2 linked regions of the Alligator mississippiensis genome follow. The protein of the gene in region 2 binds, or shares a complex with, the protein of the main gene of each other region. Links are inferred from orthologs where the notes say so. Each region holds a gene or a part of one and is shown on either strand. Other genes may lie near its edges.

The links.
Region 1: the proteins of RASA1 (region 2) and ARHGAP35 are in contact, whole or in part, in a crystal structure (PDB 8DGQ), measured with the Homo sapiens proteins. The link is inferred for Alligator mississippiensis from reciprocal best matches to the Homo sapiens genes RASA1 and ARHGAP35. Residues at the interface, in NP_002881.1 of Homo sapiens: Arg188, Arg207, Ser209, Arg211, Val217, Asn228, His229, Phe230, Arg231, Ile241, Gly242, Tyr256, Leu262, Leu263, Lys264, Lys358, Ser379, Asp380, Asn381, Ser387, Gln397, Arg398, Phe399, Lys400, Met411, Gly412, Gly413, Arg414, His425, Tyr426; in NP_004482.4 of Homo sapiens: Ser1085, Asp1086, Tyr1087, Ala1088, Glu1089, Pro1090, Met1091, Asp1092, Ala1093, Val1094, Val1095, Arg1098, Glu1100, Asn1103, Ile1104, Tyr1105, Ser1106, Val1107, Pro1108, His1109.

The regions. Positions count from the first base shown.
Region 1 is NC_081838.1:651,655-658,820, reverse strand, and holds the start of ARHGAP35 (rho GTPase-activating protein 35), read right to left. Parts: upstream 3,029-7,166; 5' UTR 2,901-3,028; intron 1-2,900.
Region 2 is NC_081826.1:245,121,701-245,129,630, forward strand, and holds the start of RASA1 (ras GTPase-activating protein 1), read right to left. Parts: upstream 3,087-7,930; 5' UTR 3,000-3,086; coding exon 2,647-2,999; intron 1-2,646. UniProt on the Homo sapiens protein: Inhibitory regulator of the Ras-cyclic AMP pathway. Stimulates the GTPase of normal but not oncogenic Ras p21; this stimulation may be further increased in the presence of NCK1.

The DNA.
Region 1 (7,166 bases), on a different chromosome or scaffold from region 2:
TTTCTGGGCACTGCTCAGGGGAAAGAAAAGATGCTACAGACTATTCAGAAAATTTATAACATGTAAACAAGCCGTTGACCATACTGGGGAAATATTCAGGCCTTCTAGTATGCAGAGGATTAGCACACAGCGATGGGCATCCACAGCACAGATCTGGGCCCCTGTGCAAGTCCAGGCAGAAATCATACTGATCAGGTAACTTTATAGTAGCGACGTATTCGTAATACAGGTCAGCTAGGCAGCAAGGCAAGTGGGAGACCACCACTGTGTCCGCTCACTGCCAAAACCTTTTTCCACTCCTGCAGTAAAAATCCTGACCCCAGGAAATCAGTGCCCTTCCCTCCTCGCACTGAATTTTTGCTCGAAGCCAGAACGCACCTAGCACTACAAACGCAGTCACTGAGGCATGGCGAGAAAGGCGCGTTCTCCAAACTTCAGTAACATTTTACCACACAGCTCGAGAAGCACCGTTAATCCTGAAAATGTCACGCCACAGAAGAAAAGACCTCGCCCCTGGCATGTCTCTGGAGGGAAAGTTGAAAATACAGGCAATTAAGAGCCAGGTTACGTGCTCTGGGAAACACCGAACTGCCACCAAAACGCAGTCGCTCAAGCCCGTTCATTCAGACCTTTGCTATCGGAGTACAGGTCACCAGTGACTCAGCAGGGAAAGTTAAGTATTGTTAAAAACCAGGGAGAGTGAGTGACAGTGGCAAAGCAAGCTCTGGACTCCACCGAAATTATGAACCCATTTCCATCTGAATGGCCGAGAAAAGAAACAGGGCATGTTGGCGTTGCATTTTACTGGTTCGATTCAAGTACAAACTGTACAACCACAACAGCAGGGAGAAACAGAAGAACTCGACGGCCGCTTTTGTAGGTCGGCTCCCACCCTCTCCATTATCCCAGATCCCCTTGGGCCGCAGAGCTTTTTGGGGGCTGTGAAGGGAGAGCCAAGCGAGATTGGAGAAACACAATCGACTTTACAGCAGAGTGTGGGTCTGGAGGGCTTGGCAAGGGGGAAAGCAGAGAAACTACCAAGAAAACGGTGCTGCCTTTTAAAGGGAGCCTGCCCAGCTCCTTCTAGGAACAAACCCGTGTTAGGAAAGAGCATCACCTCTCCACCGGATGAGCAAGGCAGGCTCCGCACCGAAAACACACCACCTTGGAAAACAAAGAGCCTCTCCGCCAGGCGCACACACTGATCACACAAATGTTACTGCCACAGATTCTTGAAGCCGTCGATACGGGAACAAAAGCAGATGTAAATGTCGTTGGCTTTGAATTCCCTCCTCCAGCGCGGGCTCACAGCATGGAAAGCCGCACGCCCGGCAGCCCTTACAGAAACCAGCTCTCGGCTCAGGGGAGCGGGGGGAGCAGGAAGAAAACCAGCCCTGGGCAAACCTGCCTGCTCGTTTCCTTGTGGAAACCCAGCAAGAACAGACACGAGCCGTCCCCCCTTGCACTAAGAGCGCGGGTGATGATACAACAGGCCCGACCCTCCCGCTCACGGCAGCAAGGAAACGTTTGCTGGAAACCGGCGCTCGGTATTGTTTCCAGACCTCGCACACGCACACACACGCACTCCAGTTGCTATCTCGGGACAAGAAACATTGCACAATTCTGCATTACGAGCAAACAGAGCGACAAGGCCGTCCGTCTCCCGCCGGCAGGATCGCACCGGATTCCTGAATGAACCGGCCGCGCCGACCAGGCCGGCCGTCGCCCAGCCCCGGCAAACGCGCCTCGGCACCCGTTCACAACAGGAAACTCGTGCCCGTCCTGAAGGCCGGAGTCATTTCGATTTCAATCTCCCGGGAACACGCCTTGGCGGGGCGAGACGCCCGAAGCAGGCCACGGCGCGGGGGGCCGTGCAGGCACACGGGGGGTTATTTCGGAGCTACGTAAGCAGCGACAAACACAAAAGGGGATCGCGGCGCGGGCGGACCCGAGCAAACGACCGAACCCTGCGCTGCCGGAGCCTCCCGTCGGATGCACGGCCGGCCGGAGCGGGTACACGGAGACCCCAGCCAGACACGTGGGGAGGGAGGGAGGGAGGGAGGGAGGGGCGGGTCGAGGCACCGTCGCAGGCAGCGAATCGTTTCGAGCTGCAGCGCCCCGTCCCTGCGGGGTAACGGCACCGCCCGGGCGCCCCCGGACCCGGCACCAGCACCAGGCGGTCCTGCCCGTGGGGCGGGGCGGGGCGGGGGCAGCCCCCGACACGGCTGGGGGTGACGAGGGCGCGGGGCGCGAGCCCCAGCACCCCACCCCAAGCGGCGCTCGGGCGCGCAGGCAGAGCTGGGGGCAGGAGGCAACGGCCCCCAAGGCGGGGGCGGGGGCGCCTCGAGCTCTCCTCACAGCCAGCGGGGGGGGGTGAATGGGGGGGACCCCAGGGCCCTCCCGCACTCGCAGCCCCCCAATACCACAGAGGGCGGAGGGGGCTCATGGGGCAGCCCCCCCCAGCCGCAAACAGGCCAGCGGGGGGGAGGGGGGCAGGGCAGTCCAACCCCCCAGGTTGGGGGTGGGATGAAGATGGCAAGGGGGGGGAAGGGCAGCCCCTCCCCCCTCAAAATGGGGGTGGGATACTGAAGGGGGGGCAGCCCCCCAATGAGGGTGGGGTGAAGAGAAAGGGGGGCAACCCCCAGGTGGGGGAGGGGCCCCCCTCGGTGGGGGTGGGGGAGGGGCAGCCCCGCCCCCGTGGGTGGGGTGGGGTGGGGGGGACAGCCCCGCCCCCCGCCCCCGAGGGGGGTCCCTGCCCCCCCCCGTCAAGGGGCGCAGGCCCCGCGGCCCCGCCCCCTGCGCCCGGCGGGGGGAGGGGCGTGGCGGGGCGGGGCGGGGAGGGGCGGCCCATTGTTCGGCGCCCGCGCCGGGGGGCCGGGGCCGGGGGGGGCCATACGTACCGCGGCGGCGGCGCCATGTCCCCGTGGGCCGCGCGGGGCGGGCTCGGCCCGTAATGGCGGCGGCGGCGGCGGCGGCTCCTTCCTCCTCCCCTCAGCAGCCACCGAGGGCGGCGGGGGGGCGCGGGGGGAGGGGCCGCGGCGCGCATGCGCGGGAGGGAGGGGCGGGAAGGGGCCGGGCGCATGCGCGGGAGAGGCGCGGAGGGGGAAGGGGGCGGTGCGAGGAGGGAGGAGGGAGGTTGTGTGTGCGCATGCGCGAGGGGGAAGGCGCGTGGAAAAGCGGTGAGCCGCGCGTGCGCAGAGATGTCTTCTTTCCCACGTGCGAGCCCCTGTCACCTGGGCCGCCTCTCCGCGCATGCGCCCTCCCCCCCTTAGTGAAGTGGGTGGGTGGGATTTCCAGAGGTCATGACCCTGCCCCCTCTTGTGACTGGTGTCCCCAGGGTGGCACTAGGCCGGGGGTGGGGCGAGACACCCTGGTCCCGGCCCACTGGGCCAGGGCTGGCCCCTTGAGCAGGCGCCTTTTGCATCCTCTCTTCTGTCCTGCCACAAAGCCCCTGCCGCGCTGCTCGGCGTGGTGTGTGGCTGGCGGGCGCTGGGGCAGCTGCCCCTTCCCACCCCATGATTCCTGCCCTGCCCGAGCTTTATAACCGCCTGCCTGGGAGCAGCAGGGGCGTTTCTATCCCGGCAGCGGCTCAGGGAATCGGCCGACTTCACCGCTCCTGATCATCCCCCTGATTCCTGCTGATCTCTTCGCTCCCTGGGTGTGAAGGACCCTCTCAGCTCCATAACCGTCTGGATCTTTCACCGGTCCAGCACTGCACGACCCTTTTGGCTGGGGGGTGCCTGCTCCGCCTGCGAGCCAGACGCGGCCAGCGGTCCCAGTCCGACGTGGCAGGCTGCGTCCAGCCACGTGGAGTGGGGCGGGGGCAGGCTGGCCCAAATCTGGCTGTGCAGAAAAAGCGGGGTGGGCCCAGCCCCGATCCAGCTGTGAGGAGGCGTGGCCCAGCCCTGATCCAGCTGCGGAGTGGGAGGTGGCATCCCGATCCAGCTGTGGGGAGGCATGGACCATCCCAATCCAGCCATGGCTCGGTCCCATGGGGGGAAGGGAGCACAGATGTGCAGGGTTTGGGAGTTTGGCAGCGGGGAGGGCGGCCGTATTAATTGCCATCACTCCCCCACCACCAAATTTCCTGACCGGTGGAGAGCCCGGCGGGCTGGACGTGACGGCTCCACAAGCCGCCTTTGGCCCACGAGCCAACGGCTGAGCGCTGCTGCCCTGGATCATCCCCTGAACTCAGGTGTGGTCACACGCCCTCAGGGGAACATTAGCTCAGGTATGGAAAGGACTGACAGCGAAGCACCAGAGGCACGCACAAGATGCTCCAGGCGGCAAGATTTTGCTTTACAAATCTGGCTGAGAGACGTGCATTTCATTATTATTTATGACTGCAGGACGAATGAGACAATAGCTCTGGCCCCCTTTTTTTTTTTTTTTTATTAGTTTGTTGTGTTTTTTAAGCTTAATATAGAAGCTAGCAAATGAGTCTGCACTTCAGTAAAGTGCTGTTTGTGTTTTGCTTTGCTCACACACTGAATAATACAGCGCTGGGCCCCCAGTGCATTAGTAAAGCTTCTAGTTTCTCTCTAAGTGGAGAAAGGCGTGTGTTGTGTTAGCTGTGATCACAGACAGCGAGGGCAGGAAGGGATCTCCGGAGGTCAGCTCTAGTCCAGCCCCTGCTCCGAGCAGGACCAGCCCCAACTACATCATCCCAGCCAAGGCTTTGTCCAGCCGGGTCTTAAACACCTCCAAGGATGGAGACTCCTCCACCTCCCTGGGGACCCTGTTCTTGTGCTTCACCACCCTCACAGTGAGAGAGTTTTTCCTAATATCCAACCTCAAATTGCCTTGCTGTAGCCTGAGCCCATTGCTCCTTGTCCTGTCATCTGGGCTGACACTATCTGCACCCCCCTTTTCAAAACCCTAGATCCACCCGTGTGCGCTGAGGACATGGGGTCCGGCGCCAGGCCCAGCAAAGCAGGTTACAATGGTATGTGTGTCGTGTCACACAGGATCGTAGGAAAGTCGGCCTCACAGAGAATCCGGCTGGGCAAGCCCGGCACTCCTAATGCAGGGCAGAAGGGGGAACCGACCAAAAACGTCTTTTCCCTTTAAACCCTCCATAGAAATCCTGGCGTGGTGGGGTAGGCAGAGGTCACGTCTAGTCTAAGGCCCTGCCCGAGGCAGGATCAGCCCCGTCTGAACCAGCCCAGACAAATCCACCACCAAACCTCTTTGGAAAACTACCGTCAACCTTGACACAGCATCAGACATCGCATCCGAACCTGCTCCAGGTGAGGCAGGGGGACCACGACACCCGATGTCCTGCTGCTGGAGGAGGCTGTTCAAATACACCAGAGAGATCCCAGGCTGAGGCCACGTCCCCACTGCGGAAGAAAGCAAAGCCCCCCCAGTCCGTACCAGTCTGACTATGGGAGAAAATTCCCAAATGCAGCATCAGTCTGACCCTGAGCAGCAAGGTGAGACCCTCTAGCCAGGACCCTCAGGCGTAGGTCCCTGCAGATACATTGGCACAGGCTAGTTGCCATCCCCAGCCTGGGCTGCAGCCAACACCCAGCGGCTCTGAGGAAGGCCTAAACCCCCCCGGCACATCGTGGAGGGGGGCAACCAGCGAAGCCCAGAAGCCCGGGACATCCCCATAGTGGAGCATGGGCATCGCTACGCCTAGATCACCCCAGCCAGTGGCTGCCCAGCCTCCCCTGGAGCCCCTCCAGGGGTGGAGAGTCCACAGCTTCCCTGGGCCTCACTGTAAGGGGGGCGTGACGGAGGGGTTGGTTTCCCTTCCAGCCCCATGCGGCAACCAGCAAAGCCCAGACGCCTGGGAGCTGCTTTTCACCCTTGGGAGGCAGGAAGGAAAAGGCACGGACCCGTGGTAGTGCTCTCCTGGCAGCTCGCCTCTCCAGCCAGGCACTGAAGTGGCCGGGTCCGCGGGTCGCCTAGAGGACAGGAGAGCTGCCGGGATTGCGATGGCCAAGAAACCCCAGCTGGAGTATGAGGCACGATGCCTGATGTGAGATTTAGTCTAACCTGGATGGGTATCTGCCACCGCCCGGTGCTGCCCAGCTGTCCACAGAGGGTCAAATGATGCAATACCTGTGTCGCCTGCACGGGCCAGGCTCAGAGGCACTCAGTTCCTATGGGTTTCATGCGAGTCAGACCCTGAAATACCTTTACAAAGCAGTATCAAAAAGCTTGGGAGAGGGAGATGCCTCTGGGGCGCACGCCAGAGCCCAGCACTTAGAGAAGAGGCAGCGCCCGAAAGCTGTAGATCGCCCATCGGGAGAGCAGGGCGCTTCATCCTCCAGCCCCGTTCCTCCGTGGTCTAGCATCCTGGCGAGGCGGTTTGAGCCTTCTGTAAACTCAGCCCCTGCTCGGTGGGAAATAATCACAGCTTCAGACGGCCGCCGGTGACTCAGGGAGGCTATTTCTGGTTCTCCTCGCAGGTCCCCACTGGAGACAGGCGTGGCTTTATCCCCATCTCACAGTGGGGAAGCTTGGCTCCGGGAGAGGAAATGACTTCCCCGATGACAAGCAGAGCTGGGAACTGGAGCTGTGGCCTGACCAAAGCATCCTTGAGAGGATAGTAACTTGCTGAAGACTCTTCCAGCCAGCAAAAGTCCCAGAGAAATCTGGAACCAAAGGAGACAGCATCCCCACGCCGGCTCGTCCAAGTCTTTGCTCCTCTGTGCGCGCAGGAGACGGCCCTGCTGGGCACCCGCCTGATGCAGGGGCGTGGGAAACAACAGAACAAGGGGGGGAAGCTGCTGAGCTGCAAGCGGGACCGACCGGACCGGCAGGCCGAGGACGATGCTTCGGGCAGGGCGTGGAAGGAGCAAGGTGCTGAAATCTGCTGCGCGAGACTCTGCTGCGTCAGAGATACCCCGACGGCTGGGACCCCGGGTCCACCTCTCCCGCTGTCCTGTGCCGCTCCCCGCGTGGCAGGGCGGGCTACCGCTCCACCCCACTGCCAGCATCGCCCCAGCCACTTGGCACTAGGCACTGCCTGGTCTTTGCTGAGACCAGAGAGCGGCCGAGCCCTCTGGGAAGCCCACGGGCACGAGAGGCCGGAGGGAGGCGTACGGAGGATGCCGTCGGCAGCCCAGCCTGGCTGCGGGCGGCTGGAAAGCCTCTGGGAACTGCGGTTTCACAAGCCCCAGCACGGGGCCCAGTCCTTCGCTCCTGCCGGCAAT
Region 2 (7,930 bases):
ACACCAGTCTTGTAAGGGCTAGTCGTATAGTCTGACATACATGAGTCAGAACAAAGACGCATACTCAAAAAAATGAGCGATTAAACTGCAGGGAAGAACACTTGCAAAACAAAAAAAGAACAAAATGGAAAGGATAAAAGTTACTGTTAAACTTAAGCAGCTAAACACTGAAAAAAAATCAGAAACAAATCAAAAAAGTTTTTGTCTGGCCCATTTCTTTAGTGAAATGTCAGTGTCACTGGTTTCCCCTGTACAATCAAGCTTGCAAGTCACTCACAGCAGCAGGAAAAAATAAACACAACAGGAATATGATTATGAAGTTAGATTCAGAGGCAGGTATCACTCCTGAAATACCTCTCTGGAAATTTATCCCATTTTCAATAGCTATCCCTTTTTTATACTTTAAAGAAATGTTTCGAGTACCTTAAACATTTCTACCCCAACATGTTGGCCCTGATCCTGCAAAGATCAGGGCCACATGCTTTGCTTTAATCATGTGAGTAATCTAACAAAAGAATGCAACTGAAGTATGCGCTTAAAGACGGCAAGATTGTGGCTATTGTAGTCCTCCAATAAGATCCATTTATAAAAAGCCAGACACTTCACTGTTTTGAAGTAGTTTAAAAGTATGTAAGGCTTTGCATAAAAATTGCGCTGCTAGCATATACATTTGGTGTTCCAACCGGAATTTTAAAAAGTATTCACATTTATAAGTCACAATAAAATGTATTTAGAAACATGAGTAGTCACTGACCTAAACAATCACCCAATCAACCATTGTTACAGATCTGTTGGGCATCCATGTGAGAAGTATGCAATATTTAGTTCTTGCAGCAGAAGAGAGGAAGTTTGGTCTTGTGGAAAGGAAATCAAGACCTCTGTCACTAACTTGCTATGTCCTCTTGCATAAGTCACCTCACCTGCCAGTGCCTCTATTTCCCCTCATTTTTTGTCCCTCCTGTTCCTTCACATTTTGATCTGTCTGAGGAATAGGATAGCTTTTCATAAACATTTGAACAGTCTCTATTTCATTAAGGACGTTATTCTTAGGAATCGAGTCATAAAAAACAGAAAACATAATCAAGGATGACTGGAAAGGTTAAAGAGCTGTGTGTGAAAACATATCTTTGCCCTCCTTTTTTGTACAGCAGCTCTGCTATCATCCTGAGCTTGGGAAGAAGAAACTCGCAACATGGAAAGTTTAAGCTGCCTCTGAAGAGATGGAGCACCTTCCCCACTTTGTATTAACATTAGACACGAACCCTCCCAAAAGTACACACAGTCTTACAGAGCTAGCAAGAAAAACAGACTATGAATAGGTAATTTTTTTTTAAGGCTATGAAAACATTATGTTATTTCTAGACAAAACAACATCAGTAAGGGGGTGCCTTTTTGCACTCATTTGACAGGGAAGTGGGGAGTAATGGGGATGGGAAAAAGCTTTTAAAAATATGAAAGCCCATAAACATGCAAGAAGAATTTTACACTGAACTACTGTGAGAACATAACACACAACACTGAAACCAAACCACTTCCCAGATCCCATTAACACACAGGATAAGAAATCCAGCCAGAACCCATCTAAATAATACTTGCCATTGCAAATCTGCATTCCCATTTTACATCTTGCCCCTCTAATGCATCTGATATATGAGGCTTCACCCTAACTTAGGCATCCATTTATATACCCAAATACCAACTTTACTATTTCAGTCCCTGAAAGACTTGTCTTTCTGTAGGGCATTGTGTGCCCCAAGGTAGCTGTTGCCCTACAGATAAGTTATTAGTACACCCAGAAGCTTTTTGCCTGTGTGCCCGTTTCGAGTTCTGACTGTATGTCCAAGTGTAAGCACACAGGCAGCGGGAAATCGAACATAAGTGACACCTGTAACAACTGTCCGGGATGTCCTTTATGTCATCAGCACTGAAGGAATCCATGGTAAGCTAATGAAAAGGCAAACATAGTGAAATCCTACTACAAACCACCACTTGTTTGGGGTTGGTTTTTGGGAGGGGGGGGGCAGGTTAGAGGGCAGGGAGGAGGTTGGGGTTGTTTTTTTTTTTACTGAAGCCCAGTTCTTTTCAAAAATGACCTAACTGCATATGAACTTCTTCCAAATCAGCCAGGCTACAGAAGCCTTCATTTACAAAAAAATTGCCTCCAAGTGCTGAAAAGCTACACATTATTACCTGCCTTTAAAGCCCCCAGGAAGACTGGCTGCAGGGGGGGGGACCCCAAGCAGGACAGCAGGCCACCCACCTGCTTCAGGAAAACTAAAGTCACCCGCAGATTTTCTTTTTTGTTTAAGAAAAAAAAAAAAGGGGGGGGGGGGGGTGTCACGAAAGAGCCATTCGGCCACATCGGAGCTTTGTCCCGGGAGCACCCAGCTCTGCCGAGGCGCATAGAGGCAGGGAGCTGCTCGGCCCAAAAACCCTGGGAAGAGGAGGAACTTCCCGAGAGCTCATCCCGCCCGCGGCTGGGACGGGCGTCCCTCGTGGCCGGGCGCGGCCGGCTCCCGCACCCCGCGGGCCCATTGTTGGCGCCGGGACCGCGGATTTCCCCGGGATCCGGGCGCGGAGGGGGGGCAAAACTTGCAACCCGGCGCGGGCGCTGCCACGCACTTCCCCCGGGCGGGCGGCACTCACTGGTTGGTGGGGGGCGCGGTGAGCGGGATGGCCACCTCCTCCTCCTCGTACTCGGGCCCGTCCAGCGAGTCGCCCTCGTCCGCGGCGCCCAGCGGCGGCGGCGGTGGCAGCGGCGGGAAGCCGGAGCCCGGCCCGGCGGCTGCCGTCTCCGGGGCGGGGGGCGCCGCCCTGGGCATCTCGTGGCCGGCGGCCGGCGGCGGGGCAAGTCCCGGGGGCGCGGGGAAGGAGGCGGGAGAGCCCGGCGGGCGGGCCCGGCACGGGGCAGCGCAGTGGCCCGGCTCGGCGGCGGCGGCGGGTGTCCCGGCGGCGGGAGCCGAGCCGCCCTCCTCACCCCCAGCCTCGGCCGCCATCATGGTGAGCCTCGCCCCCTCCCCCTCGGCCGCGCGGGGAGGAGGTGACAAAGGGGCCGACCCCCGCCCCGCCCCGCCCCGCCCCGCGCCGAGCCGAGCCGAGCCGCAGCCGGGACTGGCGGGGGCAGCTTCCCGGGCCGGCTGGGGGCAGCGCCGCTCCGCAGGGCCCCGGCGCGGCTGCCTCTGCCTCCGCCTCCTGCCCCAGCGGCCGGGAGAGAGCGGCCCGGCCCCGCCCCGCCCCGCCCGCCCGCAGCGAGCACAGCTCCGGGACCGCAGCGGGGGAGGGGAGGGGAGGGGAGGGGGCGGCAGCCCTGGCGGACTGCGCATGCGCTGCGGCTCGTGAGGCGAGGCCGAGCGGTCGCCGCTGCCGCTGGCTCCCGCTCTGCCGCTGGCTTCCGCTGCCGCCCGCAGCGCTGGGGTGGGGGCAGCTCTGCCTGGAGCCTCTCTGCTCCCCCCGTCCGCAGAGGGGCAGTGCGCCAGGGGAGTCCCCAGGAGTGGGGCCGGCACAGCTGAGCCGCGAGCCCCGTCCCCTCCCGCGCCAGGCGCGGCTGGATCCGGGCTCAGCCCCTTTGTGTCCGGCCGGGCTGCGCCCTCGTCGCAGCAGCATGGCCTGGGGGGCGCGTCCACACCTGGCAGGGCTGAGAAGAGGCGGGGCGGCGGGGGAGGTTTCTGAGGCTAAACTCTGACTGGGTCTGGCAGACTCTCGTGTTTCTTAAGTGCCTTTGAATTGGGATTTGGGTTGCCCTAGATCCAGCTTGCCCCCAGGTTGTTTTTTTGAGGCCCCAAATTAGTAGGATTCAGCTGTTTCCTCTGCATTTCAGGCTGTAGTTCTGTTCCCTCTGGGTGCTCTAGACCTGCAATTAATGCAAAGCAATAAACTCCGGAGCAGTTTGAGCTGGAGTAAACTACTCCTGGGTATAGTGTCTGCATGTGTGCCCAGGACAGCAGCACATTGAGGCATGGCAGAGCAGGCCCACGCTAGCAGGGTGCTGAAGGGCATCAGCTCTGGGTTCCTGAGGGGTGCTGGAAGTGCAGAGCCTCTGGCAGGGTGACAGGCAGCAGCCTGGCCCCCAGCAAGCTGGCCTGGCAGGGTGCAGTTCTTGCCCCTGGTTACATGTGCTTAATCAGAGTGAATTACCCTGGTGTAAGATAGTACATTCCTGGATAGTACTATTTTAGAACAGCATAAATTAGTTTACTGCAGCCTGCTACCCTCACACCTGTAGACGGTGATGCTTTACTCCACAGCTAATTACTCTACCCTGCACTAAAGAGCTTGTGTAGAGGCAGGCAGTGGGCACAGCTACATGAGACGCTGGCTGTGCAGTAGTCAAATCATACTGCACAGTAGCACATCACAGTGCCAACAATGCTAATATGCTACAGTGCAGTATTATTAGGCTACTGCACAGTAGCATCACAGATGTTCACTGGTACTACTACACAGTAACTCCCATTGCTGCACATTTAGGGCACTTTTAAGCATGCATGCATCGCAACGCTGGGCAAGCGCCTAGCGCTGTGACGCATACAATTGTATGAGCAGCAAAATGTGCGTCAGCATTGGGAAAAGCAGCAGATCTCTGGCATATCACTGGAAAAAAAGGATGTGTATAAATGCTCTTATTTAGTACTTGATTATATGAGTACTAAATAAATGCGCAGTAACCACTGCACAGTAGCATCTCATGTAGACATGCCTACCAAATAGCAAACTAGTACTGAGGTTGAGGAGCTGTGCTCCCCTGGGGGAAATGAATGCTTGTTAAGTTCAACTCCTTTTTTCTTCTGCAAATATCACAAAAGGGTCTATACCTGCTGTAAACATAATATGCATAAAGCGACAGCAAGGTTGTGGTGGGTTTTTGACTGACAGGATCGTAGTCCTCACAGTGCTCTGAGAGGTGCATGCACAACTATCCTAATTAATAATAGCTTTTCCCTTGGTACCGGTCTGAAAAAAATGTATCCTTTTGTTCACTTATTGCTCTGAGCCTCAGCCACTAACTCCCAAACTTAATTTTATGTTCTCCAGGAATTCCATTGAATGCAGTAGAACTATTCATGAGTTAAGCTGTGTACAGATGTAAGTACTTCCAAGATCAGGACCAATGTGACAAACCTATTTCCAGGCAAAATAGTGTGTAGATACCTTTTGACTTGCAATATTAAAATAGCTGACAAATAGTAGCACCTTGACACTTGCATGTGTCTCAAGTGTTCTTAAAAGGCATCTAAACATTCAGGTTTTCAAAGCTTTGCATTACCCAAAAGTATTAAGTGAATTTCTCCTGAGGCAACTGAAACAAATTGATACTCCTTCCACAGCTCTCCAGCCAACATCGTTTTATCTGCTGCACTGAACTCTCTTATCTTTCCTTCCAAAAGCAAAATTCTTCTCCTTGTTGCACCATTAAAATCTCAGGATTTACTCTGGATTTGTGCCAGTGTAAATGAAAGCAGAATTTGGCTCCAGTCCTGAATTTATAGGATTATAACGTGTGTGTCCTGCTGTTTTTGTGTTTAAAAAATTTCAGCCTCGGTAGCAGTCCTTTACAAGTCTAATTTCCATAGTTACACGTTCCATTATTGTACATGTAATTTCAAATAATCTTCTTGCAATTGTCTCTCTGTGGGTTTCTATTTACTGTTCATTTTCCCTCTCAGATTTTCAAATGTAATTATTTAAATCCACTGTTGTTGTGTTTGTAGGAGTGTCATTCCTAGATACTTTAATGCACTATAAATATTTGTAGGACTCTCTTCTTTGAGATTCTCCTCTTCTGATAACTTAGGGACATAATAAGGGTGCTGTGCTGAGAATTCAGTCCAGGGGAGGGCTGCACAGCTCATGGGTTTTGCATGGGGAGGGCAAATGCAAATTTTGATGTGGTCTCCACAAGAGGCTTCCTGTGAGGCTTGCTAAATCAGTGCTTCTCTAATGTGGCAAACCATGCCACTCTCCCAGGTCTGACCTACCCATGCAGCAGACTGGCAGAGATACCCAAACAATAAAAGCTATAGAAGTGGTCTGGCTGAATTAGCATGGTGCCTGCGCTAATTAGCCACACCAAGAAGTATGGCCCATGTAGAACAGTGAGCTAATGTCAGTATGTTGCTCCATCAGTCCTCGAACCTGCTCTGAATGAGCACTGTACCAAGGGGACATATTGTGGACAGAATTTGTTTAAACCCCTTGGCCTTGCTGGTGCTTTCATCCCCATGTTTCTACTCTGGTTAGATTTTCCAACAATAGAAATCTACCATTTAGGGTCCATTACCCACACTTTCATAATTACAGAAATGAGCTTCGTACCTGGGGAGAAAACATAATCATTGTCGTCATCATCAAAAGCAAACCAAGTCTACCAAATGGAACCATATTTTCTGGACATCTGCCATACATCTGCAAAAATACCTTTTTATTGAATATCCTGGACACAACTGCAGAAGGTTCGTTCCTTCCTTACCCTTTCCCAAGTTTGTTCCTCATGCGGTCGCTTAAATTCATTGATGAATGCATGTAGACCTGTGCTGAAGCAAGTCTACAAGGTGGACTCCTGGGCAAGTCTGGAATGTTTGAAAATCTATAGGAGCTTTCATTGGTGGCCAGTAGTTCTAATGGCCCTTCCCCATGGCCACATTGAAATTTCACGTGACAGAAAACTACTGCTGTTCTCATTTCAACATGCTTTAGTTATATTTGAATAATCTGTAGAAAGAAGGAAATATTTTCTGTATAGAACATGCATGTCTATTCCATATAAAATATGTTATATCACATTTATTGCTGTTGTCAGTTCTGGTCTTTCTTTTTAATGATCTGTTCCAGCCATGGGAATTAACTAGTTAATTAACTAGTTAAAAAATTAAAGAAATGGCTAATTTTTAACTGTAACTAGTTAAATTTTTCAGCTGTCAACTTTTAACTTTAACTTGTTAAAAAAAAGGTTAACTTTAACTTTTTTTAAAGTATAAGTTAAAAGTTAAAAAAATTGAAATCTGGCTTTCCCAGAGTTTTTTCTGACAGCTACTCCTAGGACTTAAATGGAATGATAGTTCTTTATTGAAACTCTAGGACTTCTTGTTTGAGAGAGAGAGAGAGAGAGTAGGATGCCTTCCTATGAAATATGGTCTCTTAAGAACTGTAAGTCTCAGAGTTCCTTAGTTCATGCTGGCATTTTTCTGTGCATTTGCAGAAGTCAACAGGGCAGCCAGTTGGCTGCAGGAGGGAACAAGCACAAGCAAGCAGAGACATTGATCCCAGTAAGAGTGGGAGCGAATAGTGAGGGTGAAGCAGATGATGACTTTTTTTAGTTTTAATGAAGATTAGAACCAGCAGCCCAGGGCCCAAGAAGTTGAGCATTACTTCTCATCTGTGAGAAACTTATCTGAGATGTCACCTACTATGAAAAAACTACTCATCTGTTATAACACAAGCATTCCCTCATCTACCCCTGTAGAGTGATTGTTTAGTAGTGGGGGCTTAGTTTTGCAAGACAGAAAAGGAAAATTGTCAGATGTACGTTTTGAAGCTTTTGCTGAAGTTCAATAAGCATGTTTAAACAGTTTTGCTATGCAACTGAACATTCTTTTTCTCATTTGAGCCTAATTTTGATTTTCAGACACTTTCATTATTTCTAATTCAGATGTATTTCATACCCTTTTGTTACCTTTTGAGCAATAAAAATTGTAGCAACAGAGGTTGTCTGTGGAAACAGCTTTCATTTGTTATCTGGCTTTGAATATCTCCTTTCTGTTATTTTGGTATACCTATATGATGCATTGACTTCTACAAAGTACTTCACATGGAGAGGGTGAGAAAGTTCTAGCATTACATAGGTATTGGTAAATTGTTATTCTGAAAACTGTATGACAAGTATAACATTGTTTGCAGGTAAAGCAGGGTGAGTTCTGAGTAAATTAGTGCACTT